Linked DNA regions of Oryctolagus cuniculus. The protein of the gene in region 2 binds, or shares a complex with, the protein of the main gene of each other region. Links are inferred from orthologs where the notes say so. Each region holds a gene or a part of one and is shown on either strand. Other genes may lie near its edges.

The links.
Region 1: NSMCE1 (region 2) and NSMCE2 share a complex: the UniProt entries of both Homo sapiens proteins name them as parts of the SMC5-SMC6 complex. The link is inferred for Oryctolagus cuniculus from reciprocal best matches to the Homo sapiens genes NSMCE1 and NSMCE2.
Region 3: NSMCE1 (region 2) and SMC5 share a complex: the UniProt entries of both Homo sapiens proteins name them as parts of the SMC5-SMC6 complex. The link is inferred for Oryctolagus cuniculus from reciprocal best matches to the Homo sapiens genes NSMCE1 and SMC5.

What each region holds. Positions count from the first base shown.
Region 1 is NC_091437.1:150,739,882-150,744,635, forward strand, and holds the start of NSMCE2 (E3 SUMO-protein ligase NSE2), read left to right. Parts: upstream 1-1,458; 5' UTR 1,459-1,617; intron 1,618-3,513; coding exon of another isoform or gene 3,514-4,086; intron 4,087-4,754. Other genes in the region: divergent paired-related homeobox-like, read right to left, coding at 3,514-4,086. UniProt on the Homo sapiens protein: E3 SUMO-protein ligase component of the SMC5-SMC6 complex, a complex involved in DNA double-strand break repair by homologous recombination. Is not be required for the stability of the complex.
Region 2 is NC_091450.1:12,342,567-12,347,288, reverse strand, and holds the start of NSMCE1 (non-structural maintenance of chromosomes element 1 homolog), read right to left. Parts: upstream 3,133-4,722; 5' UTR 2,996-3,132; exon of another isoform or gene 2,928-2,995; intron 1-2,927. UniProt on the Homo sapiens protein: RING-type zinc finger-containing E3 ubiquitin ligase that assembles with melanoma antigen protein (MAGE) to catalyze the direct transfer of ubiquitin from E2 ubiquitin-conjugating enzyme to a specific substrate.
Region 3 is NC_091432.1:160,209,345-160,213,560, reverse strand, and holds part of SMC5 (structural maintenance of chromosomes protein 5), read left to right. Parts: intron 1-2,237; coding exon 2,238-2,379; intron 2,380-4,216. UniProt on the Homo sapiens protein: Core component of the SMC5-SMC6 complex, a complex involved in repair of DNA double-strand breaks by homologous recombination.

The DNA.
Region 1 (4,754 bases), on a different chromosome or scaffold from region 2:
ACTGGTCCTGAAGAACGGAATTCCAGAATCATCTTTCAAGATGCCTAACCACCTTGCAGTGACCTCAGACAGGCAGGTGGTTCCACAGGGTGTTAACCTGCAGCTGAGTCTCGTACAATTAGTCAAGAATGAGGTCCTCATGAACACCGCAGAAGACGCACTATTAAACCACCACTTGGCGCAATCAATGAAGACGCCGCCTAAGGACCAGTCTTCTCAATGTGGGCCCATTACTATCAGTATACAATGGAGCCAGAGATCCTCCACAATTCCCTTCTGTTCATTTCCAGGGTGCAAAGTGGTGGAAATTTTAAGCATTTGGCATGCAACCATGACTTTCAGTTTGCAAAGGCATCGTAGACAACACGCTTCCAGGAGGGAAGCATGGAAGAGTCACGCCGGGTACGCAGCAAGGGCAGGATAGCATTTCTTCGGAAACATCATCGCTGTGGATGAAACACTGTTTACCCTACTGGGAGCATAAAAGAAGATGGGTCTATATTTATCCTCCCACAAAACCTCAGTTCCATAATGAAGGAAGCGCTGGTCGCCCCAAACCCATTACCCTTAATAAAGCATAACGGTTGTTGATCAATTTAAATGTGACTGGCAGATCTCTTCCAGAAAAGTTCTGAAATGAGCCTGAGCCCTCTAGTCCGATTCAGGACTCCTGGCTGTGGGCAGAGGCAGTGAAACTTCTTCCTCTCTGCCCTTCCCTACGTCGAAAAGCGCTCCAAGCAATTGGAATTGGAGATCCAGCTCCATTCCTGGGTCTGCGCCTTTCTTTCCGAGGGACCATAGAGGAATCGGGGCCTTTATCCCCCCACCCCACCCCCATGCAAAGGACTTTGACATCTCCATGTCACAGTGAGAGCACTGAGGCGCAGGAAAGACCAACAATTTGCTCAAACTCGCAGCCCACAGCAGAGACATAATTCAAGCTCAGCACTGTCAAAGCCGCGCAGGAACCAGTTTTCTCGAAAGTAAATGGATGAACAACCACCACGCAGCAATGCTCCCGGAAAACTTGGAAGGATGAGACGCCGGCCAAACAGCGGGGTACCGCTTCCCACCGCCCCGAGTGTACGAAACGATTGCACCTAAGCGGAGATGATCAGGGGACTGCAGCCGCCGCCCCAGGAGGCGTCTGAGTCTCCTCCATCCCAGGCCCCTCATGCAGACCGCGCGCGACGCTGCAGCTGGCCCCTTGGCCAGGGCGGGGGAGGGGACCCGGGATGTGCAAGGAAGGGGCGCACACCCCGCCGGGGCTCACCTGTTAGCCGGACCGCGCTAGCGGCGCACGCGCAGGGCCGCCGGTCGCGCGCAGAGTCCGCACCCTCGTCCCAACAGTCTCTCTCCGCGGAAACCCCCGTGCGTCCCCAGCCCCTGATCTACAGCCGGCCAAACCCCGGCTTCCGCCCTTGGTTCCCCAGGCCGTCACATGACCCAGGAGGCGGAGAGCTGGGCGGGGCGTCATGTGACCACTTGCGGCGCCGGCTGATGACGCGCGAACCCGCGCTCGCCGTTTCAGCGACGGGCGAAGGGAGTTGAGGAAAGGATCGAGGATCCAGGTGTGGGAAGTTCAGGCGCACCCGGCGGCTATAGATTGGGCAGCAGGTAAGGCAGAAGCCGAGGTGGCGATGGGGAAGGGTAGCGGGAGTAGTCGCCTCCCGCTGGGGCGCTCGGCGGAGACCCGGTGCTGGGTTCTGTCCGCCCGGGAGATGGTCCTGGCCCTTTCTCGCTACAGCATTGAGACTGGGACAGTTTACCCCGGTCTCTGACGCCGTCTCTCCATCCTAAAGCCCTAAGAGTGTGGGAGAACAGGCCACCACTTTCTGATCCTAATAAACGTGATTTGAACTTGGTTCCAGGCATTTCAAATTAAATTTACTGTCGTTGGAGTTGAGTCTCTGGGCCCGGTTTCCCTTTGCTTCTGTAGAGTGCTGTGACGATTCACGACAGCGAGAAGGAAGCTCCGTGGCACCTGTCTGTGATACTCAGCAGATGTCCTGGGAGTGGCGGTTTCAGAGATTGGTATTTGTGTAATTCTCACCGAATCTTTGTCGATGGCCTATGATGTGTTAGGAGCTGTTTTGTATGCCATGTAAGTTGTTAGGATTCTAGTTTAAGGAGCACCCATGCTTAAGGAGTGGCAGCTGTGATGACTTTTATACTAGGGGTGTGTGTGTGTGTGTGTGTGAGTGAGTGAGAGAGAGAGAGAGAGAGAGAGAGAAAAGGAGGGAGGGAAGGAGGGGCGGGCTGTGAGGGAGGGAACAATCAATTGCATGGGTAAGAGACTGCCACAGAGAGAAAAGTTACATTCTAGCAGGTTGAAAAGGGAGTGACCGCTCTGGCTGAACTTGAACAAGGCTGCCATGGGATTTAGAGAGAGTCAGCATATTGTCTATAAAGTGTTTGCACAGTGCTGTATACAGAAAGATAAGAGGGAGCAGTAGGAAAGTATCTTTAAATTTTTTTCGTTTCTTAGTAATTGTGCCTACAGAGACTCTTACAGGCTTGTCAGAGGAAGGCAAAATAACATGGTAAGGAAGAACTGTTGTTCTAAACTGTTGGGAGAAGATGGGTAGAGAGCAAAAAGATGAGAGCCACCTGGGGAAAGATCTAAAAGGAGATTGTTTAAAACACTGTTTCTCAACCAATGCACTGTTGTTATTTTAGGTCACATAATTCCTTGTTGTGGGGGCTGTCCTGTGCACTGTGCCCACTGGATGCCAGTAGGTAGACTTTCCATCCCTTCCCAACTCCCAACAAACAGCAATGCCCAGGTAGGGGCCGGCGCTGTGGCGTAGTGGATTAAAGCCGCCTGCAGTGCCAGCATCCCATTTAGGCGCTGATTCAAGTCCCGGCTGCTCGACTTCCAATCTGGGCCCCTGCACCCGCGTGGGAGACTAGGAAGAAGCTCTTGGCTCCTGGCTTCGGATCAGTGCAGCTCTGGCTGTTGCAACCATCTGGGGAGTGAACCAGCAGATGGAAGACATTCTCTCTCTCTCTCTGTCTCTTTCTCTCTCTCTCTCTTTCTCAGCTCTGCCTCTCTATAACTCTGCCTTTCAAATAAAATAAGTAAATCTAAAATGCCTAGATGTAGCTAAGTTTCTGCCTGGAGAGGGACAAAATCCGCCCCCCGCACTCACCCAGCCCCAGCCCCAGCCCATTGAGAGCCACTGTCTGGTTTAAACCAAGTCTGGGAGGGTATCTTAGTCCATTCTGACTGCTCTAACAAATTCTATAAATTGGGTAATTTATATATATTTTAAAATATTTGAAAGGAAGAGTTACAGAGGGGGAGGGGAGAGAGAGATCTTCCATCTGCTGGTTTACTCTCTTTTTTTTTTTTTTTTTTTTCTTTTTTGTTCAGGGAGTTGGATGGAAGTGGAGCAGCCAGGACTGGAACTGGAGCAAGCCAGGGCTTTAACACACTGAGCCCCAGCACTGGCCCCGGGGTGTTTTTGAAACCCAGCCACCATATCGTTGTTTGTTCTTTATGGCTGGAAGTTATTTCTGTGTCTGGAAATCATTCTGGTTCTGTCTGCTTTGTGCAAAGAAAGAGGCAGCGGCAGAGCCGGGTCCTGGCTGCACCGTGGGGTCCCAGAGCGGGTAGAGGTTGTATATGGTGGTGTCTTCGCAGCAGCCGAAGTGGATGATTTGGTGTCCTCCAGAGGGGTTCCTGGGGACTTTGAGCCTGGGGTAGATGCTGAGGTGCGGGTAAGTGAGGCCCTGGGGGTAGGCGTCTTCAGGGTATCTGGCTGGTGCTTCCACTGGCGCCTGGAAGGAGTCGGGTGTGACTGGGTCCTCCAGGGGTGTCTGGTGCTGAGCTTCCTGCGGGGGTGGAACTTGAGTGGATTTTGCTCTCTTGAGTTTTGCTCTGTGGTTCTTGAACCAGACCTGCACCACCGTGGGGTCTATGTTCATTTTGGAGGCTACTTCTACCTGAAGGTCACGGTCTGGGTACGGGTTCTTACTGAACAAGATGTTCAAGTCTTCAAGCTGTTCATCAGTGAATACGGTTCTTTTCCTCTGTGATGTCTTGTTATATTTGCCTTGAAGGAAGTCCTCTGAGCCGGACATCTTTGTACTTCGACCCGTTCCCGTGTTCTGCTCCAGAGATGAGGACTGGCCCCGCTGGCATCTCCTGGGTCCTTGTGGAATGCAGTGTCGGGGTCTGCACCTCTAAATGGCCACAAAGGCTGGGACTGGGCCAGGCTGAAGCCAGGAGCCTGGAACTCCATGAGTCTCCCACATGGGTAGCAGGACCCCAAGCTCCTGGGCTATCTTCTGCTGCTCTCCCAGGCGCATTCGGAGGGATCTGGATTGGAAGTGGAGCACCTGGGACATGAGCCAGCATTCATTTGGGATGTCAGGGTTGCAGGCAGTGATTTAGCCCACTGCATCACAATGCTGTCCCCCAAACTGAGTAATTTATACACAAATTTATTTCTCACGATTTTGGGGACCGAGAAGTCCAAGATCAAGGCAGCAGTAGATTTGGCATCTGAGGACCTGTTTGCTGGTTTGTAGATGGTGTCTTCTGACCACGTTCTTTTGTGATGGAAGGGCGGGGCAGCTCTCTGGAGAATGCCTCTTAAGAATGTGAATCCCATTCATGAGAGTGATTCTAATTAAAAAAAGTCCCAGCTTCTAGCGCCATCACCTTGGAGGTAGGATTTCAACATATAAATTATCGGGGACACAAACATTGAGATCTCAGCAGATGGGCAGATGAAGTAAAGAGAAGA
Region 2 (4,722 bases):
AATCAATGTGAGTCACATTAATAAAACAAAAGGAAACTACATGACCATCTTCACACATGCAGAAAATAATAGCTGATAAAATTCAACATTTATTCATACTAATAAAAGAAAACATCTTGGTCTACTCACTAGTATCTACAAAATAGCTAGAGCAGACATGATACTTAGAAGATGCAATGGTGAGAGCAATCATGTCAAAGCTCAAGGTGACAAAATCCAATGTGGCTGAATCAATGAAATCCCAATCGAACTCCCAACAGCTTTGTGTACGTTTACATTCTGACAAAATGATTCTAAGATTCCCATAGGAAACCTGAAGGCAGACTGGCAGACATTCTTGGGAAGGTAAAGGTGGGAGGCCTTGCCTTGCCAGAGACCCCTGTGGCAGTGGCACAGGGACGCGTGTGTGAAGAGGGAGGGAACAGACACAAACTCAGAAAGGTGTACATCCATGGACCCTCGACATGCTGGTTAAATAGACTCCGCAGCAAAGCACACTTGTCAGGGAAAGGCACCGCCCCAGACTATCCCCCCATGAAAAAATACACAGCGTGATGCGTACCTCACACTGGATCCACAAGTCTGTTCTAGAGGCCAAGGGCAGGCGGAAGGCAAAGCCCAAGACTTCTCTACGAAAGGACAGGACCATCCCTGTGGCCCAGGAGTGAAAGAGGACTGCTTTGAGAGAGAGAGCGAGCTCCATGAAGACACAGGCTCATCAACTGGATTTTGTGGAAATGAAGGAGCTCTGTGCACCAGAAACACCAGTGAGGGGGCAGAGAGTGAAGGGGGCACACCACCAACTCGAAGGTATTGATGAAACTCCTTAAACTCAGGAAAGGGGAAATGGGCAATAAATTTTGCAAAAGGAGGACGTACACATAGCTAACATATGAAAAAGATACTCTATCTCAATGTTTATCAGGGAAATCAGCACTAAAACCACAGGGAAATAACCAACCACTAGATAGGCAAAACTTGTAAAGAATGGCTGAGCCGAAAACCTTTTTTTTTTTTTTTTTTTTTTTTTAAGATTTATTTATTTACTTGAAAGGCACAGTTACAGAGAGGCAGAGGCAGAGGCAAAGAGAGAGGTCTTCCATCCACTGGCTCACTCTCCAATTGGCCACAACAGCCAGAGCTGTGCAGATCCAAAGCCGGGAGCCAGGAGCTTCTTCTGGGTCTCCCACGTGGGTGCAGGGGCCCAAGCACTTGGGTCATCTTCCACTGCTTTCCCAGGCCATAGCAGAGAGCTGGATGGGAAGTGGAGCAGCCGGGACTCGAACCGGCGCCCACACGGGATGCTGGCACCTCAGGCACCAGCCTAGAATACAAATTCTTACAACTGGAAGTGGATGCCTAGCACTTGGGACACCCTCGTTCCCTATCAGAGTGCCTGGTTCACATCTCAGCTCCTCTGCTTCTGCTATGGCTTCTGCTGGTGCACCCTGGGAGGCGGCAGGTGATGGCTCAAGTGCCTGGATCCCTGCCACCCACAGGGGAGAAGACCTGGCTGAGTTTTGGGTTCCTGGCTTTGGCCTGGCGCAATCCTGGCTGTTGCAAGGTCTGGGGGAATACAAATCTCCCTGTCTGTGCTTTGCAACTAAAATAAATAAAAAAAAATTCTCAAAACCACTAAAGTTAACAATCTGACAGCAAACCTGCATATCCCCCCAAATCCACATCTGCCCTTGGAAACGTTTACAGAAGCACATGAAGAAACAGAATCTGGCAACAGTGGAAGTGCCTGTTTACTGTAGAACTGTCACATACAGCAATTTTACAATCACAGAGTTCAAAACAGCCATGAAGGCCTTGAGGCACAGCCACGCCCATCAGCACAGATGCTTCTCAGAAACACAGCGGGGTGTGCAAACCCAGGTCACACAAAACTACCAGGGTCCGCCTTCCATAAAACCCAAAAGCCAGCAAACCATACATGGGACTGATCAGACATACCTACATGGATCGTGCAAACCACAAAGAAAAACGAGGGAGCCACACAGCACTCGGGGCCCTAGGAATCTGGGGGGGACGGGGCGGAACTGGGGGCTCTGGGGGTTCCAGGATGTTCTGTTTCTTCACTTGGCAGTGGGTGTGTGGGCTCATTTCACTTCGTGCTTCCAAAAAGATATAAGCATATTAAATAAAATCTATAAGAAACGTTAGAAGAATGAGGTCTAGAGTAAATGCTGAACTTTTTGCGAGAGGCGGGACGAATGCAGACACGTCGGTTTGTGCTTGTTATGTCCCTTACGGCTACCAAAAGGGTCTTTAGGGGAGGGTCAGGGACCACCGCCATGCCATCAACTATCTAAATAATCTTTAAACAGAAATGCCGTGGAGAAAGCAGATCTCAATGGAACCACTGTCCGACCGTGTCCCCACAGCCCATTTTACAGATCAGAAAACCGAGGCCAGGCAACCGGCAAAGTTTCCGAGAACACTACGATCCGGGACCCTCAACCGCCGCTTCTCAGTTCCCAAACAGGCTGAAAGCAGAACCTGGTTCTCGAGTGTGGAAACCTGCCCTGACCCGCAGCGAGCCGACCTGCGGTTCGTCTCCGTCCCCCTCGCGTGAAGGCGCAGGCAGGCGCTCGGCCGCAGGACGCCCAAGGGGGGACACACGACGGCGGCCGTGTGCGTCACGCCACCGTCCCCAAACCCCAGGGCAACGCTGGCTTCTGCACCTGTGTGGCCGCGGGGCTCGAGGAGGGGACCGTGGGCTTGGCGCCAAGGTGAGAAGCGCCGTATACAAAACAGGCGAGCTTCTGGCCCCGAAGGGCGAGCCCGGACCCCACCACCTGCCACCACCATTCTAAAATGTCTGCGTGTGTGTGTGCTGGGGGAGCGGACCCCAGCCTCCTAGCCTCGGCTGCCCCTCACGCAGCCCGCTTCCCCGTCAGCCAAGACGCCCAAGCCCCCACCTCCTAGTTCCACACTTCGTCACCGCACAGAAGGTGGGAACCCCACTGCCTGTCGCCCCCAACCCCACCTTCCGTCCACCTCCTCGCCTTTCTGGACGCCCCTTTTTCTTCCCGGAAGGCGTCCGGAACCCCTCGCCCCCGAGCACCCGCCACAGACGGCCGGAAGGCGGGCTCGGACCCGCCCCTTAGGCGGGGTGAAAGCGAATGCGGTGCTCCCATTGGTAGGTTTCGGCGTGCTTCCCCGCCCACAGAGTGACGCACTTCCTGTGTTCCCGCTCGCGCCGCCTCCTTGGTGTTCCGGTATCCGTGCGGTAGGTGTGGAGTTACGGGGTTTCCCGCCGCTTTCAGTATTTACGGGAACAGGCTTCCTCTTGGCTCCCTCCGGCTGCGGCCCTGCGGGGGTGTTCCTGACGGAAGTCCCTGAGGAACAACTGCGTGCGGCCTGGGATATCTCTGTGCCACGGGTCGCACAGCGAGGAGAGAATCCTGACTCCTGCGCTGCTCTGAGCCTCAGTGTGTTTTTCCATTAGATGGGATCTTAGTAGTTCCAGGGAAAAATCAACTGCTCAGCGTCAGGAAAGCGCTGATTAAATGTTAGCCCTCACCGCTTCTTGGCCGGACGGCTGAGATCGAGTGTAAATGTTGGCCATCGACTTAACCCGGGGAGGCGGGTGAGGATTCACGGAGTTCGCAGTGGGAGTGAGCGCACGGCTTTGGGGAACCGGGGCTGCACCCCCGAGGAATGCTCCCAGCTGCTCTCAGCCAGCTCTGAGGCCGCAGCCGCCGCCCGAGTCCCCAGCTGGCAGCTTTGCCTGCTGCCGCGGTGGTCCTGGAGAAGCCCCGCACCTCTGCAGGCCGCATTTCTGGGGAAGGCAGGAGAGGGCATCGTTAGAAGCTGGAACCTGGCAGCAAGGTGGTCAAGCCCGAATCGCCATCCTCACCCTCAGTGTCTCAGATGGACGTCAGAGCACTCACGCTTGCTCTCTCTTTTTTTTTTTTTAAGATTTTTTTTTTTTTTTTGAAAGGCAGAGCTATAGAGAAAGATCTTCCATCCCCTGGTTCACTCCCCACATGGCCACAGCAGCCTGTGCTGGACCCATCGGAAGCCAGGAGCTTCTTCCGGGTCTCCCACATGGGTGCAAGGACCCCAGCACTTGGGCCATCGTCCCCTGCTTTCTCAGGTGCATTAGCAGGGAGCTGGATTGGAAGTGGAGGAGCCGGGACTCCAACAGGACTCCAGCTGGTGCCCATATGGGATGTCAGTGCCACAGGGGGCAGCTTTACCTGCTGCGCCACAGCGCTGGCCCCAAGTTTGCTCATCTTAATGCTGGGGTGATAAAAGCACCTTGTTGAGAGGGCTGTTATATTAAGTGAAGGTTAAAAGCAAACCACTTAGGGGCCGGCACTGTGGCATAGCAGGTAGAACATCCACCTGCAGTGCTGGAATCCCATATGGGCACCTGTTCATGTCCCAGCTGCTCCACTTCTGATCCAGCTCTCTGCTAAAGCAGTAGAAGATGGCCCAGGTCCTTGGGCCTCTGTACCCTCATGGGAGACTGAGAAGAAGCTCCTGGCTCCTGGCTTCAGATCGGCTCAGCTCCAGCCGTTGTGGCCACCTGAGGAATGAACCAACGGAAGGAAGACACCTCTCTCTCTCTCTCTCTCTTTCTCTGCCTCTCTGTAACTCCGCCTTTCAAATAAATAAATAAATCTTTTTTAAAAAAAAAAAAAAAAGCAAAGCACTTAGAAGCATGTTGGCACAGAGTAAGCCCTTGAAAGCATAAGATAGATTACT
Region 3 (4,216 bases), on a different chromosome or scaffold from region 2:
CTGTCTATCTGTCAAATAAATTAAAAAAAAAAAGCGAAGCAGAAGACTTGGAAGGCTGTGGAAGAATGAATGAGGTGTGAGGAAGGAAAAGTTGACTGTAAGGAGGAGAAAGAAAAGTTCAGAGCTCGGGATATTTTGTTTGCTTTTACTGATTGGGCGACCCTGAGTTTGAGGAGTAAAGTAGAGGAGGGGTAGGCTTAGAGAATTAGCAAGACAGTAGGAAGAGTAGTCAGAGAATTCAGAGTAGAGTTAGGGAAAGGTTCCTGTGAGTGAGCCAAGTGAAATGAAATTGAGGATAAAAAAAGATTTCTCATCTGAAGAAACAGTGCATGCAAAGGCTTGAAGAAAAAATAAGTAGACCAGAAAACAGAGGTACATTGTTGGTAGGATGTAGAAATCTGAGCGAGAATAGGGAAAGGAGATAACAAATAGAAAAAGATGCAACGAGGGCAAAATTACCAAGGGTTCCTTTCCCAACTTTTCTTTATTTAACAAGTGATAGATTTGCATGTGTACGAACTGAGTTAGTATGATGAGGTGGTGTCATTGATTGGGTGATGGGGCATTGGTCTGGGTTGAGGCAAGGAGATGGAAGAATCAGGATGATGCAAAAGTAATGCCTGGGTTTCTGATTTGAGTGATGGTGTTAGTGATTGATTCTCTTCACCAAGAAGCCATAGAAGTTTTGGATGGGATGGAAAAGATGGTGGATTTAGTTTTGAATGTGTTAAGCATAATGAAGGATTCTTTTAAGACTGAGCTGCTAAGAGAACAAAGTATCTGAAAAGACAAAGTGAATAGATGCTGTGTTTAGGAGTGAGACTGGAAAACTTGTAGAAGCTACTTTTTCCTTATGTTAATTACTTACCTCTGTTTATTTAGTATTATCTGGCATTTTGGAATCATTAATTTTTTGAAGCATTAAAGTTGAAGTGTGGTTGGTTCAATTTATATGGTTAGCAGCTGATAACAGGCTGAACAAATGTTCTTGGGGAGTTAGTCGATAGCTACCTGAGCACTAACTGAAATGCTGCAGGCGGGGCTGGCGCTGTGGTGTAGCGGGTAAAGCCCCAGCCTGCAGTGCTTACATGCCATATGGGTGCTGGTTTGCATCTGGCGGGTGCTGGTTTGCATCTGGCTGCTCTACTTCTGATCCAGCTCTCTGCTGTGGCCTGGGAAAGCAGTGGAAGATGGCCCAAGTCTTTGGGCCCCTGCACCCGTGTGGGAGACCTGGAAGAAACACCTTGCTCCTGGCTTTGGACCAGCGTAGCTCTGGCCATTGGGGTCATCCGGGGAGTTAACCAGCAGATGGAAGACCTCTCTCTGTCTCTGCCTTTCCTTTTCTCTCTGTAACTCTGACTTTCAAATAAATTAATTAATTAAAAAAAAAAAGAAATGCTGCAGGCACGTTGCGTTATTTTTGGGTTCCGGTTCAGGGTATTCAGCCCCAAGTCAGCTTGCTTCACGTTCTGTCGAACTGTCCTTTGCAGCTAATAAGAATGCAGGTGGAGTGCTAGACAACATCAGCTCGATGTTCTGAGGGAACATTGCAGAACATTTTTAAGCTGGGTGACAATACATCTTTTTCTCTCATAAGAATAAAATTGGTTTCACTGTAAACCAGAGGTAGATTCTTTGGTGACTCTTCTGGCAGCATGAAATCAGTGTTTTTCTTTGTTTTTACTTAATAACAAAATAAAAGCATTCTGTTGATATATACCTTCATTGGAATAAGAGTAATTTGATTGAATTGTTTTACATATTAAAATATGGTAAGTAGCCACTAAGCATTTTAATTCAGGAGAAGTACAAATGAAAAAAATTTACAGATTTAAGATAACATACATAAGATAACATAACATAACTGGTTGTATGAAAATTTGTTTGAAAATTATTTTATTTGTGTAGTGATCACTTTGATATTGTCTCATGAATTGTGATAATAAAAATAAATCACATCAAACTCGCTTTTTTCAACAGACTTGATTTTGAAAAAGGCATCTTATTTTCTCTCTGATGTTTGCATTTTAGATATGCATTATCACTTTCTCATTTCTTCCAGTGACTTTCTAACTATAAGTTGTAAGCAACCTGTAGATAATGTTGAATTTGTAAGGTGAGCTGGATTTTAAAGGAATTTGGGAAACTTGTAGATGATGATGTAAAGTGAGAAAGAGTGCTTTTATAAAGAACATATTCTTATCTCTGCTTAATAATTTCATTTCTTTATAATTCAGAACATATGATGTCTGCGAAGTATCTCCTGGACCCCACTTAAATATGATTATTGGAGCTAATGGAACAGGAAAGTCGAGTATTGTGTGTGCCATTTGCCTTGGATTAGCAGGCAAACCTGCTTTCATGGGACGGGCAGATAAGGTGAGTTAACTGAAGAACTTTTAAAGAAAATCTAAAACTGTTCAGTCCTTTTACTAACAAACAAGTTTATTTTTCTCAGTTTTATGAGTATAGTGAAGTTCTAGTGTTTGAATGTAAGGAATGAATTTAGCAGATAAGAGAAGCTGAAAGGAGAGTCTCATCTCTAGAAATGTTTTGGACTATATCGCTTGAGAACTCTTCATGTATGTAACACCTGAAATGCTAGAAATAATGTCATAAATCTTTTTAAAAAATAATAAGAATCTAAAGACATAGCAGACTTGAGTTGTTTTCTCAGGGACATTTAAAAACCTGCGTTTGAATGGTTTGCAACTCGTAGGGGACCTGAGATGAGATAGGGAAGTACTATAAGATAAAATCTAGAAGGCAGGCGGTATATGCAGCAGAAAAAAACACCAAAGGGGCAGTTGGGTTACTTAATTATCTCATTGGTCATTCTGAATACAGTGGGGAGAAAAGTCTTCCAGAGAATTCTTTTTTTTTTTTTTTTTTTTTTTTTTTTTTAACAGGCAGAGTGGACAGTGAGAGAGAGAGAGAGAGAGAGAGAAAGGTCTTCCTTTGCTGTTGGTTCACCCTCCAATGGCCACCATGGTCGGCACGCTGTGGCCGGTGCACCACGAAGGCAGGAGCCAGGTGCTTTTCCTGGTCTCCCATGGGGTGCAGGGCCCAAGGACTTGGGCCATCCTCCACTGCACTCCTGGGCCACAGCAGAGAGCCGGCCTGGAAGAGGGGCAACCGGGACAGAATCTGGCCCCCCGACCAGAACTAGAACCTGGTGTGCCGGCGCCAGTAGGTGGAGGATTAGCCTATTGAGCCGGGGTGCCGGCCCAGAGAATTCTTAACCACAAGCCTTAACATGCATTGGGGGCCAGAATTCATATTACCTATGTGGCTTAAATATCATAAATCCAAATTTTTAAGTGGTCTCAGTTAGTAATACCTTCAAGGTACCTGGCAGAAGCAAACATAACTATCCCTTCAAGGAAAATACTTTTAACCTAGTCCTCAGATGAATTCTAACATGAAGTTTCAAGAAATTCATGAGTCCATCCTAAGAAGTCATAAAACATGTGAAAAATGAATTACCTAAAATAACATCAAGCAAAAACAGACTGCATGATGAGCTCTGCAAAGCTCGTAGGAACAGATAGTAAACTAAGTATTTGTCATTCGCTTAAGGAAATAAAAGAAGATTGCAAATATAACAGAGGAATACATGACAAAAAGATCAATTTGGAAAAGAATCTAATAGAACATAATGAAATTAAAAATATATTACTTGAAGAAAGTTAATGGACAGGTATAGTATTAGAGCAAACACATGGGGCCAACGTCTGCAGTGCTGGCCTCCTTTTTGGGTGCCGGTTTGAGTCCTGGCTGCTTCACTTGTGATCCAGCTCTCTGCTGTGGCCTGGGAAAGCAGCAGAAGGTGGCCCAAGTGCTTGGGCTCCTGCACCCACGTGGGAGACCCGTGGGAAGCTCCTGGCTCCTGGCTTCGGATCAGCACAGCTCTGGCCATTGCGGCCATTTGGAGAGTGAACCAGTGGATGGAAGGCCTCTCTTTCTCTGCCTCTGCTTCTCTAACACTGCCTTTCAAGTAAATATATAAATCTTTTTTTTTTTTTTAAAGAAACAAATACAAGAGCTGGTGTTGTGGTATACCTGCCACCTAAGGACATCTGCATCTCATAGTAGAATGCCTGATTGAACTCACAGCTATGGTACTTCTGATCCAGGTTCCTGCTAATGCATCCTGAGAAGCAGTGGATAATGGCTCAAGTGCCTGGTCCCCAGACTTCAAGTGGGAGGCCCCGAT